Drosophila melanogaster: one gene and its partners. The protein of the gene in region 2 interacts with the protein of the main gene of each other region in a pairwise test. Each region holds a gene or a part of one and is shown on either strand. Other genes may lie near its edges.

Evidence for each region.
Region 1: the proteins of Sp1 (region 2) and CG7991 interact in a two-hybrid assay, tested with the Drosophila melanogaster proteins (one large-scale study listed by BioGRID).
Region 3: the proteins of Sp1 (region 2) and Pex23 interact in a two-hybrid assay, tested with the Drosophila melanogaster proteins (one large-scale study listed by BioGRID).
Region 4: the proteins of Sp1 (region 2) and CG12391 interact in a two-hybrid assay, tested with the Drosophila melanogaster proteins (one large-scale study listed by BioGRID).

The regions. Positions count from the first base shown.
Region 1 is NT_037436.4:1,672,919-1,678,159, reverse strand, and holds the start of CG7991 (uncharacterized protein), read right to left. Parts: upstream 3,452-5,241; 5' UTR 3,039-3,451; coding exon 2,993-3,038; intron 1-2,992.
Region 2 is NC_004354.4:9,727,499-9,732,851, reverse strand, and holds the start of Sp1 (Sp1), read right to left. Parts: upstream 3,205-5,353; 5' UTR 2,969-3,204; exon of another isoform or gene 2,553-2,968; 5' UTR 2,289-2,552; coding exon 2,175-2,288; intron 1-2,174.
Region 3 is NT_037436.4:20,296,375-20,304,056, forward strand, and holds Pex23 (peroxin 23), read right to left. Parts: upstream 5,768-7,682; 5' UTR 5,648-5,767; coding exon 4,583-5,647; exon of another isoform or gene 4,527-4,582; coding exon 3,124-4,526; intron 3,102-3,123; exon of another isoform or gene 3,036-3,101; intron 2,855-3,035; coding exon 2,591-2,854; intron 2,530-2,590; coding exon 1,830-2,529; intron 1,772-1,829; coding exon 1,190-1,771; intron 1,125-1,189; coding exon 1,086-1,124; 3' UTR 755-1,085; downstream 1-754. Other genes in the region: FRG1 (FSHD region gene 1), read right to left, coding at 1-168, 233-415, 468-526; SCCRO4 (squamous cell carcinoma-related oncogene 4), read left to right, coding at 6,859-6,971. UniProt on the Drosophila melanogaster protein: Involved in peroxisome biogenesis.
Region 4 is NT_033778.4:11,147,012-11,152,296, forward strand, and holds CG12391 (uncharacterized protein), read right to left. Parts: upstream 3,058-5,285; 5' UTR 2,767-3,057; coding exon 2,590-2,766; intron 2,501-2,589; coding exon 914-2,500; 3' UTR 591-913; downstream 1-590.

The DNA of each region.
Region 1 (5,241 bases), on a different chromosome or scaffold from region 2:
ACTTTTCGACATGTTTCACATGTGATGAAGATTAAGTAGAAAATAATTACAAGCTGCGTCCGAAGCGAAGCTAAAGCCAAAGTTGAGCTGAGCTGAGCTGGGCTGAGCCCAAAAGCTGTGTGTGCGATCGCGATCATATCGGATACACTGGGATTGGGATTGGTACTGGGATATCGGGATAGCTTTGTGATCGCTGCGCGGCCGGCGGTAATTACATAAACAGCGATGTCAGTGCGGTGACAGGACGGCGTCATCATCGCAGCCCAGGGAGCCCAGTGAATCTGGAGCTCGGCAACTGCGACTCGCAGTCGATCATCAATCGTGCGAACTTTCCAGGGGACCGCCCCCTCGGAACGCGGATATCACTGCGGTGGGGGCATCGCCGCCACGACCTGTTCCCAGATCCTCGCAGCCAGTGCTCGATGCTCGATGGCCAGAGAAAGAAACCAAACGGCCAGCCGAAAATAAAAGGGCCAAATCAGCGTGTAAGATGCCGGGGCCATAAATTTTAAAGTAATTTTCTCCTGGCCCCGAGTAATTTATGGGAAAATATTAAGCTGCCCCAAATACTCCACATCCAGATCCAAATCCAGATCCCAACTAGCGCAGACAACCTAAATTCGACCCCAAAAAACTAGCCAAATAGAGTAATTAAATCGGTGGCTGACCAGCTTCAATCCACTAGTCCTTGCTGGTCGAGGATCATTCCAGCTCATTCCCGATTCCCAGCTGAACCGGCTGAGTTATGGGCACCCCATCCTCCTGCACTTTGGGTCACGATTATCTGCATACGCAGCCGGCAATAATAATCTCAAAATTGGCGCACTTAAGCGAGGATCCTCGGCAGGCGTAATTTGAAAGTTATTTTGTTGCCGGTGCGGTGAAATTATTGAGCAATATGCTGATCTGTAAAATCATAAATAAAAATATTTGTACTTGACCGCAGCGGAGCCAGGGTTTTGCCCTGGAATGAGGATGGGAATGGGATTGGGAATGGGAATGGGCATCCACCTTCGCTCCATCTTCATCTCATCTCCTTCCACCCGGACGACTTTTATGTTATGTTATGAGGTGAGATCTTGGATCCCGGACGCGGGCTCCGGATGGCGAGTCTGCGCCCGCGGCTTAACGATTGATAAAGTCTTTTTATTTACAAGCTGATAATGATGGTGTAGGTGCAGCTTTTGGCATTGCGACGGTTTTCATGTAATTTATGAGCAATTTGCAGACAATTTTCGAGGTCCGAGCTCGTGGAATGCGCGGAAAGTGTAGGACTGACCCAAAGATGTGGGCTAAGTGGGTCTCAAAGGGGGACGCAGTCCGGTCAAGTGAAAGATCTACAAACGGAATTTATGGGAATTAAGCCACTTGCAAATGGAGTGCCCCAAATAGAGCTCGACTAAACTCGGTGAGAAACTCTCAATTGGAACTTATGTTTCTACACTTCTTACACAGTATATCTGTGGGTTTTGATTTATGGTAATTTAAATTGTTCCACCTTGCTCATCGTCTTAGGTTTCAGATAATTCTCCAGACACTGTTTACCATTCCAATCCCATCCAGCACGCTTCCACCGAAAGCCGAAAACTATTTTGTAATATTGATAACCATCTCGGCGGTGGGGAATGGAGCTCGGTCAGGCCATTAAAATGTCACAACAAAACGCCGAACTCATTTTTCGATGCGGCACTGGGCCACAAGCGACCATTAAACCTGCAACTTGATGGGCAGCTTCTATAAAAACAGAAGACTCCGGGCACGAACTAAGCGAACCAAATAGCCAGAAGTGTCAACTGCGGTATGGTAGAGCCAAGAACTCTGGGTAAGCCGATTATGGGCCACGACTTTCGGGAACGGAACGCACATAAAATAAATGTCGCTGGCAGAGATGTCCGATCTCCGGAATCGTGTTAGGCGTGCTCCGCGGCTCAGGAGGCGGGGCTACCCACTACTGGGACTACTGCTTTCATGTGGCGGTGGTGTGGATGTCACCTACTCCTACTCCTGCTCCTCCTCGTTCTGCCTGCGTTGTTATTGCTTGTGTCGCTGCTGATGATTGTCATTAACATCACATTACCACAAGTCAAAGTCATGTTTTTGATCCCAAATAAACCCCGAGAGCTCAGAACTGAGATACAGCGAATGAGACACATAGTCGGCACTTGGTTGGAAAGTTATGGAGCAGATGGGATGGGATGGGAGAAGACGAAGAGTAACCACAGGAATGTGGGGAAAAGGGACAGTTTTCAATGCGATGCTCGATAGCAGTTGGCCACCTTGTTGGCCATCGGGACAAATCTGTTATGACACCTGACTGCGGGCCATGGGTTTTCAAAGGAAGGAGAGGGATTCAAGTGGGGGATTAGGGTACAATGTGTTGACCACACTATAATCATATTGGTTAGTAAACCCATTCTTCCCAAGCCCCTTAAGACCATCAAATCTTTATCCGACTGATCGTGAATGTGTCAAATCTTTCCACTTCCATCCCAAGTGTTTACGCTTGAAACCAAACCTAGTGAGATATTATCTTCTACACGGCGATCTGCATAATTATGCTAAACACATTAAATCCATTCATAAATCTCTGGGCAATCGTCATCCACAAAGGGAACACCTCGGCGAGAATTTCGATGGCCAGATATGAGCTATTATTCATGTCCCGCGTGGCTCGCGCTCCCATTTGTATTTGTCCAAGTCTTTTGTGGGTGATGAAGCCCAGCGGGGTGAATTTACGATCTTGGCCAGGGAAGCACTGAAATAAAATCAATAAACCAGTCGCTGGGCACAGCCAGAAATAATGCTTAAGATGCAAATTATGCAGATGAGTCGAGGCCAAAATATTCGAGCTTGTCACTGGACCGAAAATCGAAATTCACCTGCCCGGCGAAATCATATTTCTTGTTGCCCAATCGTTGGAGGCGTGGTCCCGTCCCCCGTCCCCCATTACCACCATTCCCACAAACTTGGCCATATAGAAACGGGGACTTACTCGAAGAGCTGCTCGATCGCTGAAGACGCCTCTTCCAAAACAACATTGTGTTCCTCCTCTTTTGGCGCTGATAAGATCGTCTGCTGATTGGTTTCGTTATTTCGTTATGTGATCACTGGCTATGCGGGTGTGGGTCTATGGCGAAATGATCCCTCTCGCGGAGCAACACAGCTGATTAGCATAAACTTCGAATCACTCAGGAACCGAGCTCTCCCGAATTGTATCTTTCAGATACAGCCACGGCTGAATGGCAACTGCACTTGCCCAACGCGCACAACAAATTGAGACATTAGCAGCCGGCCAGCGAGGAAAGTTATGACCCGAGCTATGTGGAGTGGTTTCAATTCGTTTTTTCCCTCAGGTGTCTCAGGTGTCAACTGGAGGCGAGGTGTGCTCAATTAGCCGCCCGATTTCAGCACTTCCGTTAAGCCGAGCAACTCGGACTTCTGGCCCGCTCGACGGTTAATTAACGAATAAAAAGTCGCTCCGCTGCCTCGAAAAAAAACCTCCGAGCTCGACTTGAGCTCGCTCTGCCGCCAGCTCTTCTCGTCTGGCGCGCTGGCTCGCTGGCTCGCTGGTCTTCCGCGCTCCCTGCCACAATGGAAACGAACTGAAAATGTGTTACACCGAAACGCCGGGCGGCGCAGTCGACGCTCCGAAAGGGGCAGTCGTCGCACATTGGGGCCAGTGGGGACATAAAACAGGTGTAAGAAGCCCAGACGATCTGAATGCGAGCGACATATGGCTAATAGCCAGCCCATGGGCTGGATCGAGATGGAGATGGCGCGTTTTATGGGTTTCCAGGGTGCGGACACAATTAGATGTTCGTAAAAAGTGGCGTTTTATTTCACTTTTCAAAACAGGGTCCACTCCGCAGACTCGTTTCTTGCGGGCTGGCGACAAAATTATTAATTATCTCACAAACACTGGACAAACATGGCTAACAACTGGCTGGAGTTAAAAGGTAGTTACATCAGTGGTATCAGCTTGCTTACAAGCTGGGTTAGTCCATTAAAAAGCTATCACAGAACTGAGTCTTAAACTTAAAGTGTAATTTTAAAATATTATTAATATTTTTCAACACCTCAAAGATGTAATTCAGTGTGGCGCTGACTGCGCAGTCGCCGCCGGCGTCGCAGTTGGCGTCGCGTTGGTGGCGGTTCACTGAATTTCGCTGACTGTAGGTGGTTGTTGCTGCCCCCAAAATGTGTAACAGCAACAACAAGAGTCTGGCCAAATCGGCCAACAACAACGATCGTTGGCTCGTGCAGAGTTCAAAATGCACGCAACCTGCAAGACAGGCGACTATTGTTTATAGCCCGCTTGGATTTGTTTTTTTTTTTTTGCTCTTAACTCTTTCTTTTCGCTGGCTGCCTGCACATTTATTACTTAACGCTTTGATGCGTTGACGGTTTGATGGTTTGTTCTTCTTGGCCATCAGTTGCCCGCTTGCCGTGTGCCCCTCCGTTTGACATAGTGCACTTGGCCATATTCGCTCGGTTTGGGCCCCCTCATCATCATCGTCATCGTCGTCGTCGTCGTCGTCGTCCTCATAATCAGCCCTCTTTTTTGCTATATGTTCATCAAGCGAATCAGCGTAGCGAAGCATAAAGCCAAATTAACATAAACAACTTCTTTTCGACTTCCATATCTTCTATACACGGAAAATCGCTTTGATTATTACAAGCTATCTTCAAATTAAGATTGTCATATTTATAGTTTGGGATTCATGTTGAAATAATTTCTCTGTAGATACATTTCTTTGCTGTGAGCACTTAACCTAATCATATTTCATTCTTAACCCGATCTTATTTTCGTTCAGTGTGCTGCACGGCTTGCTGCTCTCAATCGCCCACATGGCCAAGTGCTCCTCCTCATCCCATCTTTTGCCCATTTCCTATGCGGCTATGTGGCGGAATTAAAGACCTTTTTACCATATACCATCTAACTATTTTCCGTCTGCTATTCTTCTACTGTCTAATTGGAATATGAATACGAATTTCATTTGTTGGTAGTTTGTAGTTTGTATTTTGTAGTTTATAGTTTGTTTTGCTTTTCTCCGGTTGGGGGATTTTTCTTGTGACAGGTCAGAAAGCCGCGCAAATTATTGGAATCACTAAAGGTAATGATCCAAATTGATGTTAGACTATGGTGGCTTCATCTTCATTGCACAACTGGAACTACATTCATATTTAAATATACGTTTTTGCTTACCAACCCACTTATTATGCACTTTTGTTGCGCGATTT
Region 2 (5,353 bases):
CTGCTCCATCAATATGCAGATCCGTTGGAGAACGAGAACGAGACCGAAAGACCAAGAGACCAGGCCAGTTTATAGCAGCCAGCTCGTTTCGTTCTGCGGTTCTTGGCAAATACATTTTTTTTTTTATGGGCACACGCAATTGCGTGGCGTCTGCACTTTGGTTCGACAAAAAAAAAAAAGGTGAAAAAATCGGAGAAAAATGAACGTTGGAAAGGAGGGAGGGGGGAGGGGCAGGTGGTGGCCAGGGGCAGCAGATTGAAAGTGCCTCAATCACATTGCGTCCATTTGGCGTTGCTGACTCTATTAAAAGTGTCATGCGATTCGGGCTAATCCTTCAGAACAGAGATAGTATATCTAAAGTACAATCAACCCTAATTTATTTATTTAATTATTCGTTTGGCTAAACTTTTAAAGTATACACTTTAGAACACACTATATTCTTCTTTAAATACTTTACAAACCCTGATTCTGATTTTAATGACTTCTAGCATTGACATCAAAGTTTTCATTTGGGGAATTTAACAAATTATTTTTAGCCAACTGATCTAGCCGCTGACCTTTTGCTGTGAATTACAGGGTTTTGAACCAATATCATATGATGTGGGCCAGCACGATGGACTTGCATAATCAGCTAACTGAAATTCGAATTGAAATCGAGAGCAAAAGCCCGGAGGAGCCGTACAAAAACGATCATTAGCGGAAATCTGTCTTAGTTTTTCGGTCCAGATCAAAGGCCGGACGAGATTGATGAGCGAATTTTGGATCGGGGCCAAAAGATCATTATGAACGGCTGCCTGATGCGTTTTAGCCTTTAAGTGTTTGCTTCCGCTGTGCGATAAGCGATACGAGTCGAAAAGTCAGCGTGGAAATACGATCTCTACAGATTTGCCAAAACCCCAAATGAAACAAAAAAAAAAAACAACAAAAAAAGATTTTAAGTAGACCCAGGAATGATTCCATCGTTAGCTTCACACCTCAAGTGAGCCTGAATAATTGATTTTGAGAGCGAGAAACGAGAAACGGCAAACGGCGCCTACCTGGTACCTCAGTATCTCAGCCTATCAATAGTATCTGTATCTGCAGCTATGTATCTGCGGCGCATACCGTGAAATCCGTTGGCACACAGAAAACAGTGAAAAAATCCGGGGCTGAACAAGCCGCGTCCAATCGATTTGTATCCCGTTCCCCGGCATTAGATACTACCAAACAATCCCGATGAGTTCCAATCATCATCGCCTCACAAAAGGAATCCAGCTGAGCGGCTGACAAAAGGTGTGCGCTACTGTGAATTCCTCGGATGCGAAATCGTATCCGTAACTGAATACAAATCGAAATCCGCGGCGTCTGTTGTCATTGTTTGTTTATGGCTGTTTATTGTCAATGCTAATGCCGTGTAAGTGGCTGATTTGTCCGATTACTGTACGTATGTACATATATTTTATAAGCGACAATTGGTAAGGATTTGGCAGCCGCAACTGTGAGATACAGAAATACTTGCCGTAAAGTAACTTCTTGACTTCTCTGCGCGAATGATTTATGTCGAAGTGCACGAGTGTCTGCGGGAGGCATTCATCAAATCATGACTAAGTCAGCAAATGCCTGCCAGTCACTTGTGCGCAGTGAGCCCACATATGTATCTATGAGATACTTTCGGGCTAAACTCTGCAGCGATAACTATGAAATGTTTAGCGAAGCGAATAGTGGGTGTAATAAATTGCTCTTAGTACATTGGCATTTTTCGTTTTTGGGTGCAAAAAACACTAGTTTTTCTAGAACAGTTGATTAAGACCCAATTATGCTTGTAATTCTGTATATTACAAATATTAACTTTCTGACATGACAATTGTATCTAAAGTAATGGTCACCATAATTGGCATAATTTTATAATTTCTTATACAGATTGATACATTTGTATCTCTACACCCTGTAATTGTATCTGTATAATAGAATCTACTACTTTTGGGCTATGCTGTCGATAGTTTTCTATTCGATGGATGGCAATTGTGTGTAAAGTGACGGTAAGTGTGCATAATTGAGGCCCAGTGTTAAAAGAAAGATACACTTCGATAAGAACGCTCTGACCAAATCGTATCTGTAGTGACCTATCTTGCAGATACATATCTCGAGGTGCGGTTTTGGTATCTTCGGATTTGGGATTTGAGATTTCGGCTTACCGGATTAACTTGTGGCTTCTGCAAGTGTGTGGCGATATTGCTGATGTTCATGCCCATGGCCGGAATCTGGGATCCGTAGAGCTGACCGGCGGTCGGTGTCATGTCCGTTAACATGGTTGCTGTGGATGTTCCTGCTGCGTCTCCTGCTGCTGCTGATGTTGCTGCTGCTGCAGTGGCAGTGGCAGTTGTCGTTGCTGCTGCGGCTGCTGCTGCTGCTGCTGATGTCAATTTGAGGCGCACAATGATGCTGTCTGTTTTGCTTCTGCTTTGTTTTGCGGCCACTTGGGTTTAGGGTTCGATTTTCTATTCTTTTCTTCTTGCTCAACTCAACTACTTTTTTCTTTGTTGCGACTATTGTTGCAGGCCAGGCTCACTGATCTTGGAGAGTAAGGGAAAAAAGATGTAAAGGACATGGACAAATGGATTGGCAAGCACAGCACAGCACAGCACAGCACAGCACAAGCACACACGCACTCAGAAAAAAAGCAAAGTGGGCTAAATCGCTTGAGAGCAGATTATGGCCCAGCTAATAGCCCAGATATGTATAATCCGTATCTGTATCTGTATCTTTTCTCGAGTCCGTCGGCGTTGCACTTTTCTTCACTCGGCCGTCGGCTGATGTTTGCTGCTGAGAGTTGCAATGTTTGACTGCTCTTATTGTCACTGGGATTTTGTGCCTATATATGGGCTTAATTTTTTTTTTATTTTTTTTATTCTTTATAGACTTCTTTTCTAAGGAACACAGGCAAAAAAAAAATGAAATATAAGCGATGGAAATTAAAGGAAACTCGAACCAAAAATGCACACAGTTGTTTTGTTTAGCTTGGCTGCTTGTTGGCTTGTTTATGTTTGTTTGTTTGCTTGTTGGTTTATTGTTTATTTATTTGCTTGTTTGTTTTTATGTTTATTTGTTTATTTATTTGTTTGTTTGGTGACAGGAGGCGCCTGCCAACGAAAAAAAAGTGTCGCTGCTGTATCCGCGCCAAAAGTAACGCCGTCGTCGCTGATCGTTCAAAGGCTTGCAACTGTTTCACGCGAACAAAAAGCTTGTCTAAATGTCGCCGCTGCCACCAACGCTGCCACAGTCGCTGCCGCTGCCGGCGTAGCTGCCGCAGCGGTGCGAGTGAGATAGCACACAGTCGTAAATTCACTCCAACTAACCAAAATTCAACGTGGGGGCCAACGATGCCATCAGTGCAAGCGAGACGCTCGTACAGACAATCCAAAAACAACAGCAACAACAAAATATAAAACAACACACACCACTCTCTAGAGTGGTGCGAATGGGTGCCAGGGGTAAAGATATATATATATATATATATATGCATTCGTGTATTCGTATTTTGGTGGTGTGTGCGCCTTTCCCTTCCAGTTTCATTCATAAAAACCCCGGCTGCTTTGGGTAAAACCAGTTCCCAGAGCACAGCCCCCTCTATATGAACGCTTTGGCCAATGGCAGATCGGACGGGCCTAACCTATAATTAGAGCGATGGCCGCTGTGCGAGCGAGATGGCACGCACACGGACACGTGCCCCTCGTGCCGTCTCTTTCGACAGTCCTGCGGCCCTCTCTTTCATCGCGTGCCTGCGTTAAAAACTGAAAACAAATGCACACACGGCAACAACTACTATTGCGTTCAATTAAATGTTCGCCAATGTTGTTTTCCCAGAACTGGATAGCTGAAAATCGTAGGAAAAACAAAAGGGTATACGAAATATATGTATGAGAATAGAAATGAAAATCCACGCAAGATGACAAATTGTTTTCCATTTCGACTTTTCGTTACTATCGGTCGCAGCGAAAGGGAGTTTTGCGGGGAAATGGTCGTGTTTTTACCTCGAAAACGACTAAATTAAAGAAAAGGAAATTTGGAAAAGACCAGCGAAACTTAGATTGCAACAGCTTTGCCCCCAAAAGTAGACTAACTCTGGAAATTGCGACTTTAAATGGTCTTAGCTTGAGCAAAATAAATCCAGGTGTGGTTTTATCACAGCGTTTAGAAATGGAAAATATTGCTAAATATATATAGATAGTTAAGAATGTTCGAAAATCATAACAAATACTTGGAAGATTTCACCGGATGTAAGGCTGCAGAAAAGGGTTTAACAATTGGAATTTATCTGACACATTTGAAAATTCTGTTTCAGAAAATTCACGAAATTCAAAGTATTTGTAAGATTACATAGCATGTTATTTTAGTAATATTTTAGGAAAACTAAAAACAATGTACATATGTACTTAGACTCTGATTTGGAAGATCCCGAGAAGTCGTGATTATTCGGAACCCAATCCAGATTAACCCGTGCCAGTTGGGCCTCCCACAGCTGGAAGCTGCCGGTCGAGCTGTTGCATTTCAGGGCTGCAGCTGAGAAGCGGGCTAATTGAACCACACCCCCTGTACCGCCCCGCCTCTCGCCGCCCCACCCCTCCGGCCTTTCTATGCAAACAAAACGCCCAGGCAGCCGAAAAACGCCAGCCCCTGTGAGAAAAGCTGAAAAGTCCAAAAACCAGCAACGGACTGTCGATGGAGGTGGATGATGTGGCAGTAGAGATGTGGAAGTGTGCCCAGCACAAGTTGCCTGGCCGCGGGAAATTCTCTGCACAGCGGGAAAATTGAGGAAAAGTGGGCCTTGTGCCAATCAGTATGCACGTATCGAGCATAATAACTTGATAATGAAATCAATTTTAAAGATAACCAACACCTATTATTAGTTTTAATTTTCAATATGATTATAAATAAAAGATAAATAAAAATACAAGAAATATTTGACTTTAACTTTTCCGGTGTTTTAAGCGATAACTATTGCTTTCCAATTCCTGTTTCTTACAGTGACCTGTAGTGCTGCCCAACTTCGAATCACGACCGTGCTGCAGGACAAATGCAACACATTAAGTGGTGGCGTTGGGTGGGTGGGTGTTTCGGCGGAGTGGGTGGGTCGAAGGGGTGTGCCCAAAGTCGCAGGCAAGGCCAAGCCACTTCCTGACTCCTCATGGCCATGGAATTGCGGTTGGACCTCATCAGCTGGGCAAACTGATAACGCTGACTGATTGCACGACGGCATTCCCGCTTTTCCCCACTACATTTTCCACCAGTCCCCTGCCTGTGGAAAACTGTGGGTTTTCATCTCTTTCACTGATATTTGTACGGCGAATCAGCTTTCTGCACTACATCGCTCTGT
Region 3 (7,682 bases), on a different chromosome or scaffold from region 2:
CCCACTGCTTCGGAGCGCCCCGTGACCATTCCATCCTTCTCAATTTTCAAGTACTTGCCATAGCCAGACTTAAACGCTACCTTTCGGTCGTTGATGGGAAAAGCCGTGAAAATCTCCTCGGGATCTGGGCCATCGCCAGCGTTGTGTGGTGCTCCCAATGTGAAGAGACTAAAATGTTAATGGACACCCGGTATAATTAAAGTACCAATGGGCAGATCTTTTTCACTATTACCCATTGTCCATGGCCTTTAGGTAACTCCTATCGCCAAACTCTATGGACACTGTACCGGTGATGTCGGCCGCTGTCTTTGCTGCCCACCAACCGCCGTGCTTCACGGCATCCTCATCCACTACTACCTTGGCCTTTTTGGAAGATCCAGCCTCATCCTTTTCCTTCTTGCGTTTTTTGCTCTTTCTACAAATCGAGAATTTCAATTGATGCTATTGGCAGATTTGTAGTTACATACTTGAGTTTCTCGCCTTTTAGAACCAATTTCTTAATGCGTGCATGATCGTAGTCTGACATCGTCACAAAATAGGTAAATTGTTGATATAGTTTTGGTTTACAACACAATAAACAAACATGCGATACAACATCGCAGATGAGCTGGTCTATCGGCTATCGATATCTTACCAATAAAATACTGTAAGCGTACATTTTAAAAAGTACGGACTCAAACCATTCATTAACTTGGTAAAAAAATTAAAATCAAATGATTTTTGATCTGTGAGAGATAAGACATATTTCATCTTTCATCACATACATATATTTATTCTCGTAATTCATTATATATTTGCTTACAAAAAGGAAATACAATCACGGCTGCTGGATTTGTTAAACTAAACAAAAGACTTAAACTAAACATTTGACTTAGATACATACTTTTATAAATTATTATTATAAATTATAAATAAATATGTGTAAATAATACGTTTCAAATAGCTTAAATAGGAAACATCTTATTTTCATATACTTTGGAAAAAGCGTTGGCATGGTCACATATAAGCTTGTAAATATGAATAAATACAACAAACAGGATCGTCCGTAAGTAAATAGGAATGCACAAATAAAGTATTCAACTCCATCACATATATCCTTCGACAGAGACATTTTGCCATTGGCCCTGAAATGGAGAGGGTATTTTTTTTTAATTATAAATTCAACCAACCCAATGTTTAGATTGCATACCGCAATGCCAAGGTTCCATCCTACGCCTGCAGGATTTTCCTCTGTAATTCCGCAGCGCCTGCAAATGATACCATTGAGGGAGATGGCCCACACCTCGGAGCCCACGGACACCGAGCGGAAGCCACAATGCTGATCCGTGTGCGGTGGCACATTGGCGGCATTGGGCAGAAACTGCCAGTGGGAGCCCTCAGGGAAAGTCCTCGAAATCTCCTTACGCACAGCCAAACGTTGCTGGTTGTCCAGCGCCCAAATCCCAGCCCGACCCACGCTTATCGCTTTAAAGGTCACACCCGCGGGTGCCTCCACTTGTTGCCAGGCATCGCCGCACGGATTCTGCCTGCTGATGCCATACCGGAAGAACACCATGCCGTTGCGCGCCACAGTCCACACCTGACCTGTGGGCCCCACGCTGATCCCAACTAACGGCTGGTCGCTGGTTATGTGCTCCCAGGCATCGCCACGAGGGTTTAAGCTGCATACACCATGCCGGATGAGGACATCACCATTGGAGGCAATCGCCCAGGCAGCCACTGCTGTGTTTCTCTCACCCGAACAGCTGTGATCCACATCTTCATCCAATACCTAGTAGGAAAATGTTTAAAAAACAACCATGTTGAGAATTTTTTAAGTAGAACCATACCTGCAGGGCAGCATCAAGGATTTTGGACTGACTAAGCTCCTGCCATGGTCCGCTGCTGCTAAGACGACATCGCTTCATCCATCTTCGTCGACGCACGCAATCTGTGAGTTTTTTGTGAGCATGGTAGTTGGCGGGGAAGTCGATGGCGTATTGCCAGCCCTCCTTGTCCGCGCCCCCAGGAATGTTGTAGTCAATGGCCCAATCGGAGATCCATTCGCAGTGCGTAGACAGCAGCTTGGTGTGCTCCTTGCTCCGCTTCTGCCGCCCAGTAGCATCGCTCCACATGTGCCGATCCGTCGGCAGGCTCTTCGCCGTGAAACCACTGATTGGATTCCAACGTTGATTTTCGTACACATAGTAGGTGTGTGTGTCAATCATTGGGTTAATTTTGCCGGACCCCTCCAAGCCCTTTAGGAACATTCCTCCCCAGCCTCCGTTGTAAACCCAGCCAGTGTTGTCACAGGATATGCCCCACACCACATCCACGCCGCTGTTGAAAATCCTCTTAATGTGACCGCCCATTTGGCGCCAGTGCATGCGCTCCATTGAGACAATTAGGGAGGGGCAGCGGTAGAGTACATTGAAAAGCTTAATACGGCCACTCACATAAAGCCGCGTCACGCTTTCCGGATCGATGCGGTACTTGTAGTCGGTATATACGGCATTGTTCACGATGATCAAGTAGTGATCTTGCAGAGCCCTGTAAGGATATTCAAGTATGTATTAGGCATTCGATTTCATTCCCAGGATTCTATTCCTACCTTATTTTCAACGAAAAAGTTGCTCCGGGAGCAAAGGCCATTTTGTCATTGCGAATCTCGTCCAGCCATTCGGACTCCTTCATCGAGTTGAGCACCGTGGTGCGTTCGTTGAAACGGGGATTCAGGTGCAGAGCAATGACCCGATGCTTCTCCACGCGATGAGGCTGAACTTTTACTGCAGAATGCGACTGCAAGTCGAAACGAATCTGATCAGCGTCATCGTACACACAGCCAGATATCTCTAGCTCAGTACCACATGGCATTCTGAAATTAACATATACAGGAGGTAATTATTAAAAAATTAAGCTTTTAGAATTAAATGGAATACGAAGCTTCTGGTAAATTGCCTGCTTGGATAAATTGAACAATTTGAATTCAACAAAACTCCAGCGCTAGATTTATCCATCACTCAAAAATATTTTTCTATCATAGCAGTTTAAACAATATAATACCTACATACTTCACAAAACAATCCTACCACATAAATTTTAATAGAATCTTCGACCGACAGGTAAGTTTTTAAGCCCACTTACCCATTGTAAAGAGTATTGTAGTATGGAGTTTCGCAAGTGGAAACATCCATCTTCTCCACGTATCCCTCGCTGGGTTCACTTGTCTGATGTGCCTTCATGTTGGCGGGATCAAACACAAAGACATCGCCCAACTCGCTGGTTATCCAGATCGCATTGCCAGCCGGTTTTCCCACCATAGTGTTGATCTGGCTACAGACTGACGACAGGTGGGACAACCAGTCCTCCATTTCCGAGTCACTGGAGAACTGTAGCTTAACGGGCGAACAGTTTACGGGAAGATGAGGAGCATGAATAGCGATCCGCGGTGCTCCGGCTTCACTGCAGCACTGAACACAGGTGATGTCTGACAACGGGAACTGAATCTTCGTGGCGGCTCCATCCGGACTAAGTACCGTAAAAGTTCCAGAGTCCCCGGATCGCGAGTTTTCACTACTATTTGTGTCAGTGCCACTGCCACTGCTTACCCACTCAAGTTCGATGATACAATCCTCAAACTCGCCTCCAGGTCGCTGATAGCGCGCATCCGCCGATTTGACCCACGAAGAAAGCTCCACTGCCTTCTCGAACTTGGCCACAGTCTGAAGCTTGGCCAGTTTCTCCTGACGTCGCTGCAACTTGTTCACAATATCCTTTCGCCAATTGGCATTCACGTCCACTTTACTGTCGCTCGTCTGCTCGTTAAACCAATTGGGCATGTTGCTGGCATCCACAGTCACAGCACCTGAAGCTACGCAGCTCCATAGTATCCCGCATTCTGTCCAAAATTGTGATCCCGTATGGTCGTCATCTTCTCCCAGAAACACATCCGATCCATGGTGCGTGGAGTCCGACTCAAACACGGTCGAATCGCTCTCTGGATGCGCTTCAGTGCCCACGACGGACCCAACACTTCGGACGGGAGACCAAGCTCTTGGATTCCTCAGCTGGGTCTCAAACTTGCCAGTTACCACCTCCACCACATCCGCTGCGGGAGCACTGGAAGCATGTGAAGTTTCGCGAAGCGCCGCCGTTCTCTGCTTGTGGCGATCGTTGAGATTCAGACTTCCAATTGTCGGAGGTGAATCGGCACTGAGTTTCCAACGTTCGTTCTTAAGAAGACCAGGTGGACCGCCATTACTAGAGCAGGAGCCCGTAGAGCTGTTGAGCACAGTTTCTATAACTGCACACGTCTCTACCACACCCTTCTCCTTCTCCTTGGAGTACAAATTGGAGAAGCTCTGGTGCTTTGAGCCTGGCGTTGAACTACTTCCGCCGCTTTTACGAGAGACTATGGATAGAGAGCTAGAAGTGCGGCTGATTTGCATGGGACATTGAATTAAACGCCATTTTTTGCCAGTAGGGTCGGCAGAGGTCACCCCAGAGCGGTGGTACAAACAACGGTCAGCGGCTCCAATGGCAAAGACCTGCGAAAGAGTATGTTCATATCTAAGATAATTGGGTAGATCTAACACTGGTTTACCTGATCGTTGGCCGCCACAGAGACCATTGAAATGTTTCCCACCATTTCCACCCAGCCCTTGCCAATGGCCGAATCCTCGCTTATGCCCGCTGCTTCACCCTTGACGCCTCTCCTGAACCAGGCGTGATGATCATTGGTTACACACCACACAGCATCGGTGCCCACGGAAACGTGAACAATGCGCAAGCTACTGGCGGCCACGGGGGTTTTGACATCCAACCACGAGTCACCGACTAGGTTGTCTCTGGTTACACCAGTACGTACGATAACTCGGCCGTTATGGAGTACCGCCCATACCAATCCTGTGGGTCCCACGCTGATCTGCGCGAGTTCACTGCCCGTGGGCGTGGGTACAGCTGTCCAGCGAAGACCCTCGGGCGCCGTTTTGGACACCCCCGTGCGAAACATAGCCCTGCCATGGGCGGTAATGGCCCAGACACACAAAGTGCCGGCAGGAGCGTTGGGAACACAAGTGCCGCCTATAGCCACGTCTATGAAGGGCTCCTGCGTGGGATCCTTGTGTAGTGGTGCCACCGCGCACCAGCTATTCAAGGCTGCATACCTCCTATATCTCACCCACTTGCGTCGTCGCACATACGAGTTCCAAGACTTCTTTGCCGAGTACGTGGCCGGAAAGTCCAGGGCGTACATCCAGCCATCCTCGGTCAGCGGCTGTCCATCGAGCTCTAAGTCCAGGTGCCAGTCGCCGTCCCATTGCCACGCCATCGAGGGCAGTCGGATTTTGTCCACACCACGCTCCACACTGCCATCGGCGGAGGAATATCTGTACCGATCAGTGGGCAGCAGCGTCTTCGAAAATCCTTCGATGGGCAGCCAGCGCTCGTTCTCGTACGACTCCTCCCGAATCCGAATGGGCACGTCCAGACCGTGCACATGAACGTACACCTGGCGGTCGCCGCCAATGGCCCACAAAAAGTTGGGCACAGCGCAGATCTTCTTGAACTCCAATCCCAGATAGGGAAGTTCGCGCCACGCTCCGGAGTTGGTGGACAGCGTGTAGACGCGCCCTTCACTGCTGGCGGCGAATAGGTAGAAGCTCGGCATCCTGAGATCTATTACTAAAGACCAAGGGGCCTCTTTCTGTCTGGCATCGTGTTTACAATCAAATTGGAAAAATTGATTTTTCTGAAGAATAGACCTAGACAGTCAGTGATGGCACACCTGTTTTCCGAGTCCTAAGCGATAGTATCGTTGTGGTTGTTGTGTTTCCACTAAAAACAGCCAAAATGCAAATGTTTAATATTTTATTTTTATATCTTAAAATTGTTGTTTATTTCGAAGCCCGTTTAAAATAAAGCATGTCAGAAAATTATGTGTTAACAAGAATGTGTAATAAGTAATTCCAAGGAAATGCGACAGCCCTGTTAATTCTATAGTGCCGTTAAATTTCGCAAACCAGGGTCTATCAAATCCAAGACACCGATAGTCCTTGCCCCCATCAGTGTTAAATGTATCGATACTATCGCGAGTGGCCAACCCAGCTCTAATTGACGCCAAGAAATTTTGATTGATTTTGAAAAATATGGTAAAAATTGAACCGTTCTTTCCCCTAACTGCACGGGCGGATCCCTTTAACCGAGCGCACCCAGTTTAAGATCCATTTACCGGTCGCAGTTAAAAAGGAAAGCCGTAAACTGAGCCCCTCGGCGTTGCGACGTTCGACGCAGAAAAGCGAGCACGCGCAGGCCAGACGGTCGGTCGGTCGTATCAGCTGCTGGCTGTGGCTCCCGGAGGCCGACCACGGACCAATCCCCCGTAATGGCCGTGCTCCCCGGTCCGTAGTCCCGGTATTGCGAACCGAGTCGAGACCGAGGCCCTTCCAGCAGCCGGTATTTCGTGCTCTGGTGTAGTAAAACATATGTACGCACGCCTACAGAGTACAAACGTTCATCTGGTAGACACACATATATCGACCATATATATACTATAGCCACTATATGTATACCGCGATGTCCTGTGCATCCCGTGAAACCTCTTCGCTGCATCCGCGTATCGGGGGTGGTCGGTCTGCCCGAAAAACTCCCCTAAAAATATCATACCACCAAGTGATTGAGGCTCCATTTTAACCGGATTCTTTCATACCCCACAGATAACTACTTCGGAGCTAAAGTAAACTGGTCATATTGGGAAACATTGCGGTAAGTGCAATTCAAACATTTTCGCTAATAGCGAATGAACTAAGTGTGCTATTCACAGCAAAACTCAAATCCGACGGACGGAACGGACTGACTCTGGAAAACACATCACAATAAGTCATGCCACGGGGAAAACGCCGAGCTGCAGATACTATTAGCGACAACATGGATCATGGTCAACCGAAGAGGGCCCGAACCAGCTACACCAGCATACCCACACAACAGAGCAGCAGGTGAGTGGTGGAAAATAGGAAACAAGAACAAAGGCCCTTTGGTGTTGTATCATCTGTTCCGGGGAAAAGCATCTGGTTTCCGGTGTAGAGATTCCTAAGCCATTGATGCCTGATATATTTCAATGGAACGGCCAGATTTACCCACACCTGGCACTGAAGAATTTGTTATTTTATTAATTAATACGTTATCATTTTCATATTCACATCTTCGCGACGATTTGGTTTCATGGTTTATATACTTTTCATAAAAAAAAAACAAATACTGGCATTTCTGTAAAATGAAAATTGATTCACTTGCTCTATTCATAGATTCACAATAATCATCCTATTATTCACCCGTCTTGTGTTGTATCCAATAATGTTCTTATCCAAGTTATAATTATTATTATGTTATCTCAACATTAATCAAAATCTGTGGCAAAATCGAAAGGCATTCAAAGGCAAAAATTATTAGTCTCTGCCGATATTAAAAAAAAAAAGTTTTTTTTAGCTGAATATAGATATTATTTAACACAGTCCAATTATTAAATCCATCCAACAATGTAATTTAATTTATAAAATTAAGTTACCAATCGATTCCATCGTTGCGCGTGGTGCCATTAGTAAAAACGGTCCATTAAAATCCCATATTTTTCAGCAGGCATCAGTATTTATTTCCATTTTAATTAAACTCATTAATACTAATTATAAACAAAAGCTGTAGAAGTTACT
Region 4 (5,285 bases), on a different chromosome or scaffold from region 2:
CCACAGAAACCCAAAAGAAAAGCTTAACAATTTTGCATAAATTACGGCTTACAAATTAGGCTTACACAAATAACTTAGTTTATTGGCTTACAGTTTAAAATTATAACTAAAACGTTGCAACTCAGTTCGTTTTCCTTCCGGCCATGAGTAAAACTTTCTTGGAAAAGTGCAAATTTTGTGGTCCAAATTAGTTGCTTGAAGTACTACAGCATTTTTCTTACCAAACCTTTCTGAAATACCTGATAAGAATTGTACACGGATCTGAAAGTTGTGAGTAACCACACTTAGTGCTCCGCTTATGCACATATATGCTGCAAGTCTACACTAAAGACCCCCAGCTTGGGTCCAAAGTAATCCCCAGTAGTTAAACACTCCTAGTTATGCTCCACAAGCGAAATTATAAACATTAGAACGCCACATTATGGCCAAGATTGTGCAGAACTGCAGTTGGTTGTTCTTTAGCTCGGCGGCACTAAGTGCTGCCATTTGGCGAGCAAACGCTTTGGGATCCAATTAAAAGGGGTTCAAAAGGAAAGCATTGTGGGTCACTGAGGAGCAGCGCACTCCATGTAAGTTACGACGCACTTATTCCAAACATAGTGTTTATTTTAACAGCGAATCTTATATGTTTGAAGTATTTATAATCTAATGGTGTCCTTAGGAACAAATGAAAATCTTAGCGTCTAAGTCAATATTTTCCAATCTGCCATTAATCGAACTTTTTATTTTGCCTTTTCGCTTACTTACTTAGCTTGAGAAGTTTACATGTACTCAAAACTTCCACTAGTGTTATTTTGTATTTATTACAAATGTGATTTATTTGCACTGAATTCTTCCTACAGCTAGAGAAACTTAAAATCGTTCATTAGAAATTATTGAATTGAAATCCGCAAGCCGCCGCACCTTGGTTTTTTTAGTCCGAGAAGCTATCGCTCCAATAGGTGGTTGTTGGTGGGGCCACAGCCTTGAAAAGATCCCGTCCTTCGCCGGGACGGCGTTTGCTGCTGTTGTTGCCATGATGGCGGTCGTCCTTGCTGCGCGACTCCTGCTTGAACCGCGACTGCTCCTCCTTGATGCGAACGCTATCCTCCTTGTGCCGCTGACAACCGACGGCCTGGTGACGCTGCAGTCGCTGCTGGGTGAGGAACGTCCGCTGGCAGCGCTTGCACTCGTAAATGAAGCCATGCTCGTCGTGTCGCTGGGCCATATGGTGCTTCAGTTCCGCGCGCAGTCGGAATATCTTGGGGCACAGCTCGCAGCGGAAATGGGCGCGCTCCTGCTCGTGCCGTTGCATGTGCGTTTTATAGGCCCACTCCACCTTGAACTTCTTGCCGCAGATGGGACAGGCATGCTCTATTCTCTCGTGAGTCTTACGATGCAGCACATAGGATTGTTTGCGCGAGAACGTCAAGTCGCAGTTGGGACACTCGAATGGGCCCACTGAAGCCGTCGAAGAGGGCTGGTATTTCTTCTTTTGGGCGCTGGAAGGCTCCCCATCGCTGTCCGTGCCTCTCTTGAGTGGCTTTTTTCGAGGACGCCCACGTGGTCCGGGCTTCTTTTTCTCCTTCTCACTGTCATCCGAATCGGCAGAATCGCTGTCGGCACTCGTGGTTCCGGCTACATCGGATACCTTGAACTCATCATCGAGCTCATCCTCATCCTCACTGGAATCGGTGACAGGTGCGTCTATGACCACATAGCCGCGGGGTCTTCGCACTTTATTCTTGCTTCGGGACAAACGCTTGCGCAGCTCCTGGTCCGTGGTCTCCAGCTGCTTTCTCAGCTGTATGGCAATGGTAAGGCTGCCCATGCACTTGGTGCATATGAATTGCGGCATAAAGTCCTTGGGCAAAATCGAGACATTAGGACAGATGACCAGCAGCATGTCCGCGGGCGTGGCATCGATTTGCTTCTTAAACAGGCAGACTAGCTCTTCCTTGCTGGTGCAAACGCGGCACTGGTCTTCGTCCACGGGTTCCTCTTTCTTGCGCTCCCTAATGGGCACATCGGCCAGATCGCCCGGCTCATCGCCAGTGATTAGTTCACCTTCTGCATCGGTGCCAGTCTCGAAATCTGGTTCAATTTCCTCGACTTCTTCGTTGGGATCCTCATCTTCATCGAGAGCGTCCTCATCTTCTTCAATGGCCTCGTCGCCTTCTTCGGTGCCATCCTCATCTTCTGGCTTCTCTACATCGTCTTCATCCTCTGCGTCGGCCTCGTCGCCATCCTTTTCGGCATCATCGTTGTTATCTTCATGTAAATGAGTTGCCTTCTTCTCCTTGTCGGTGTCTTTTTCACCATCCTCTCCACTTTTTTCCTTGGAAAAATCATCTTTAGCTGCAGATTCTTGCAAATCCTTCTTATTGCTTGATTCCTGGCAACCTTCATTGGCTTTCTCCGTTTGCGGAGTCTCGCTCTCATCCTCCTGCGGCATCTCGCCATCCAGATACTCTGCCTCGCCCATCTCCGCGTCCTGGTCGGCAGTTGCACCGGCATCGTCCTATAATATAAATAAAAATAAACAAACATATATATATATATATGTATGAGTTTCACAAGCTTTTCCAAGTCTTTTAAAGCCGGGCGCACCTCGAGGTAATCCATAATCTGTCCCACAGTTCCGGAGACGCCATCATCAGCGGAACCCACCGACTTGCCCGCCAAATCCTGCCGCGGTTGCGGTTGCTCTTGGTTTTGAGCACTTTCCTGGGGATTTTGGCGCTGCTCTCCGTTGGTTTCCGCCAGGGGCGTTATGTCGGCTTCCATTTTCGCAGTATTTTCCTTATTTCCGCAGAGAAATGTTTTCAAGTGGAGTGGGGGAGTCTTCTTTTTTTTGGCGGGGCACCGGCGACTTTTTCGATATTCACTTTTTCGCTTCGATTTCTTGGCGCGCACTTGATTTTCGGATAGTGTTCCACTTTCGTTTGCACAAATTCACATTTCTCGCACTTTTCTATCTAATACTCAAGCGGAAAATGCAATTCAAATTGCAGTTTTTTCACAGCGTTACAATTTTTTTTACTTGCAGCCATATTGGATAAGTATAGGTACACAGCTGTTTGTCATCGGTAATCGATAGTTGTGCGCATGCCCACTGGCAATCGATAACGTGCGCAGGGTTGCACAGCGGGCGCGTAATTTGAAAAGTAAAGGAAATTCGTTATTTAAAGAATGCTCGCAAATAACATAATTCAGCAGCCCAAAACGAAAGCTTAAAACAATAAAACCGAAATAAAGTTTAGGAGAAGGCGCAAAGTGTCAGTAATACATGCACCTTCTGTCTGCAAAAGGGAAACCTACGCGCGTGTTTGCAATAAAAGTGGGCACAATACATAGGCCACCCCCCTTAAAAGCAGCCGTTTGAAACAAAAAGCATGTCGTCTTGACTTTTCAACACGGCGAAATAAAAATTACGTGATTTGCATAATTTTTCACCCGCTGCTGTGCGCATTAATTTGAGTAATGCCTCTTACATGAACCAGCATCAACCATGCAACACTTTGTTTTTCCTTTTGCCACAACACTTAATCTGGCTTTTAGAATTCCATGCCTTAAATGTTGGCAAATACCCCGTATTACTTGAGTTTACATTCTTCAATTTCAATCAATTCCCAGTACAAGAAATGCAAATAAGCAAACAAATTTCAATAAAGTGGCTCTTCAAAAATATTCCACCGCTCTGAAGGGAACACTACAGAAAAATATTTATTTCAATTACGTCCTGTGGCCGCAAAGAGAAATGTCCGCGGAAATGCCCGAACTTTGCGAAGGACACAATCCATTAGCGCAGACACTACACTGCGAGAAAATGTTGCAGTAACTTGAAATACTTCTATCAAATAGATCAAGTGATAAGTTGAGTAATCAATCAAGTGATAAGTTGAGTAATTAAAACGTAATAAGTTAATGACAAATTTCGGACTAATGAAATCTTTCTGTCTGTCCTTTACTTATTTCTTTGTTTTAGAGCATCTTTTTGGCTGTATTATTATTATTTTTTCGCTTGCTTTAATTTCAGATCCAACAATAAGAATTTTATTCTATAGTTACTTTTTAAAGTTGATCGAAATCACTCTTTTAATGTGAAGTACCCTCGGGCTAAAGATAAAAGTGTGAGTATGACACATTGATTTCTTCGTGTACAATATGCCCACAAGGATAGTATGTGTCTGTCTGGGACGTAATTCTGTTGCTCTTCGACATGATTTACGCCAACAATTATCGCAGCAAGACGTGCTCCGAGATCTACTTGACATTAACATCGTTTTACCGGCTAGAGCTTTTCACCTCCTGGTCGCCTTCACGTCCACCCACTCGCAGGGAATCGCTTATGTTGCCGGATGTTGCAAGGACAGGGACGCGAAGGCGACTCCTAGAAAAGAGATAAATTTAGCGGCCAGGAGACTGTGGCAGTGATAAAAAAGCATGGCCATGTCAGCACAACACAATTCAACTCCCGGCGGCGTCACTCAGTGATTAATTATGCACAAAAGACAAACAGGCAGCATATGCTCCTTGGGAAGGCTTAAGCCTATATATATGTACATACATATATATTATATGTATTCCTGAACCCGTCGAGGATTTGAATGGATTTCAACCTACCCACTGGCGTTCACGTGCGCACATTAAAGGGCACATCAAAAACATATAATAGAATACATTCTAATTGTGGTGATAATTAGAACGAACTCATATTATAAGCATTTAATTATCTATTGAGTGTTTTTCAGCAGCCACATTCCTTTCACCTGTTACACGACAATTACGAAAAGATGCCGCCAGCACAACCAATGTTCAGTTACATAATATAATGGCAATCACTCCGCGGAAAAAAAGCCTATTTTAATTATCATTTTATATTAACTATCAGTCTAATTAATCTTATTTCATATTCAAAAAATTAAACATTGACATTGCATGTTTGTACAAATAACTATCTTTTACCCACGGGAATGAGTTCTAACGAGATTTATTTTATATTTTAGATGAGATTTATTTTACCACTTGATGTTTTGCACAACTTAATTTAATGAGTTGCACCCACCCCATCTTTAATTTTCACCCGGATGCTTTTCAACCAGATGCTTTTAATTTTCCATTTAAACTCATAACCTGAATTAAGTGCTCGAATAGTTAAGGAAATTAAAATACGTCGGTTATTTAGTGCAAATATTAGGCTACACTTCAATTTGCATCCAAACGAAAACGAGTATGTATGTATGTGAAGACTGCCAATTATATATATGCTGAAGGTTTCCCCCCGGAAAGTTTATTAACTAGAT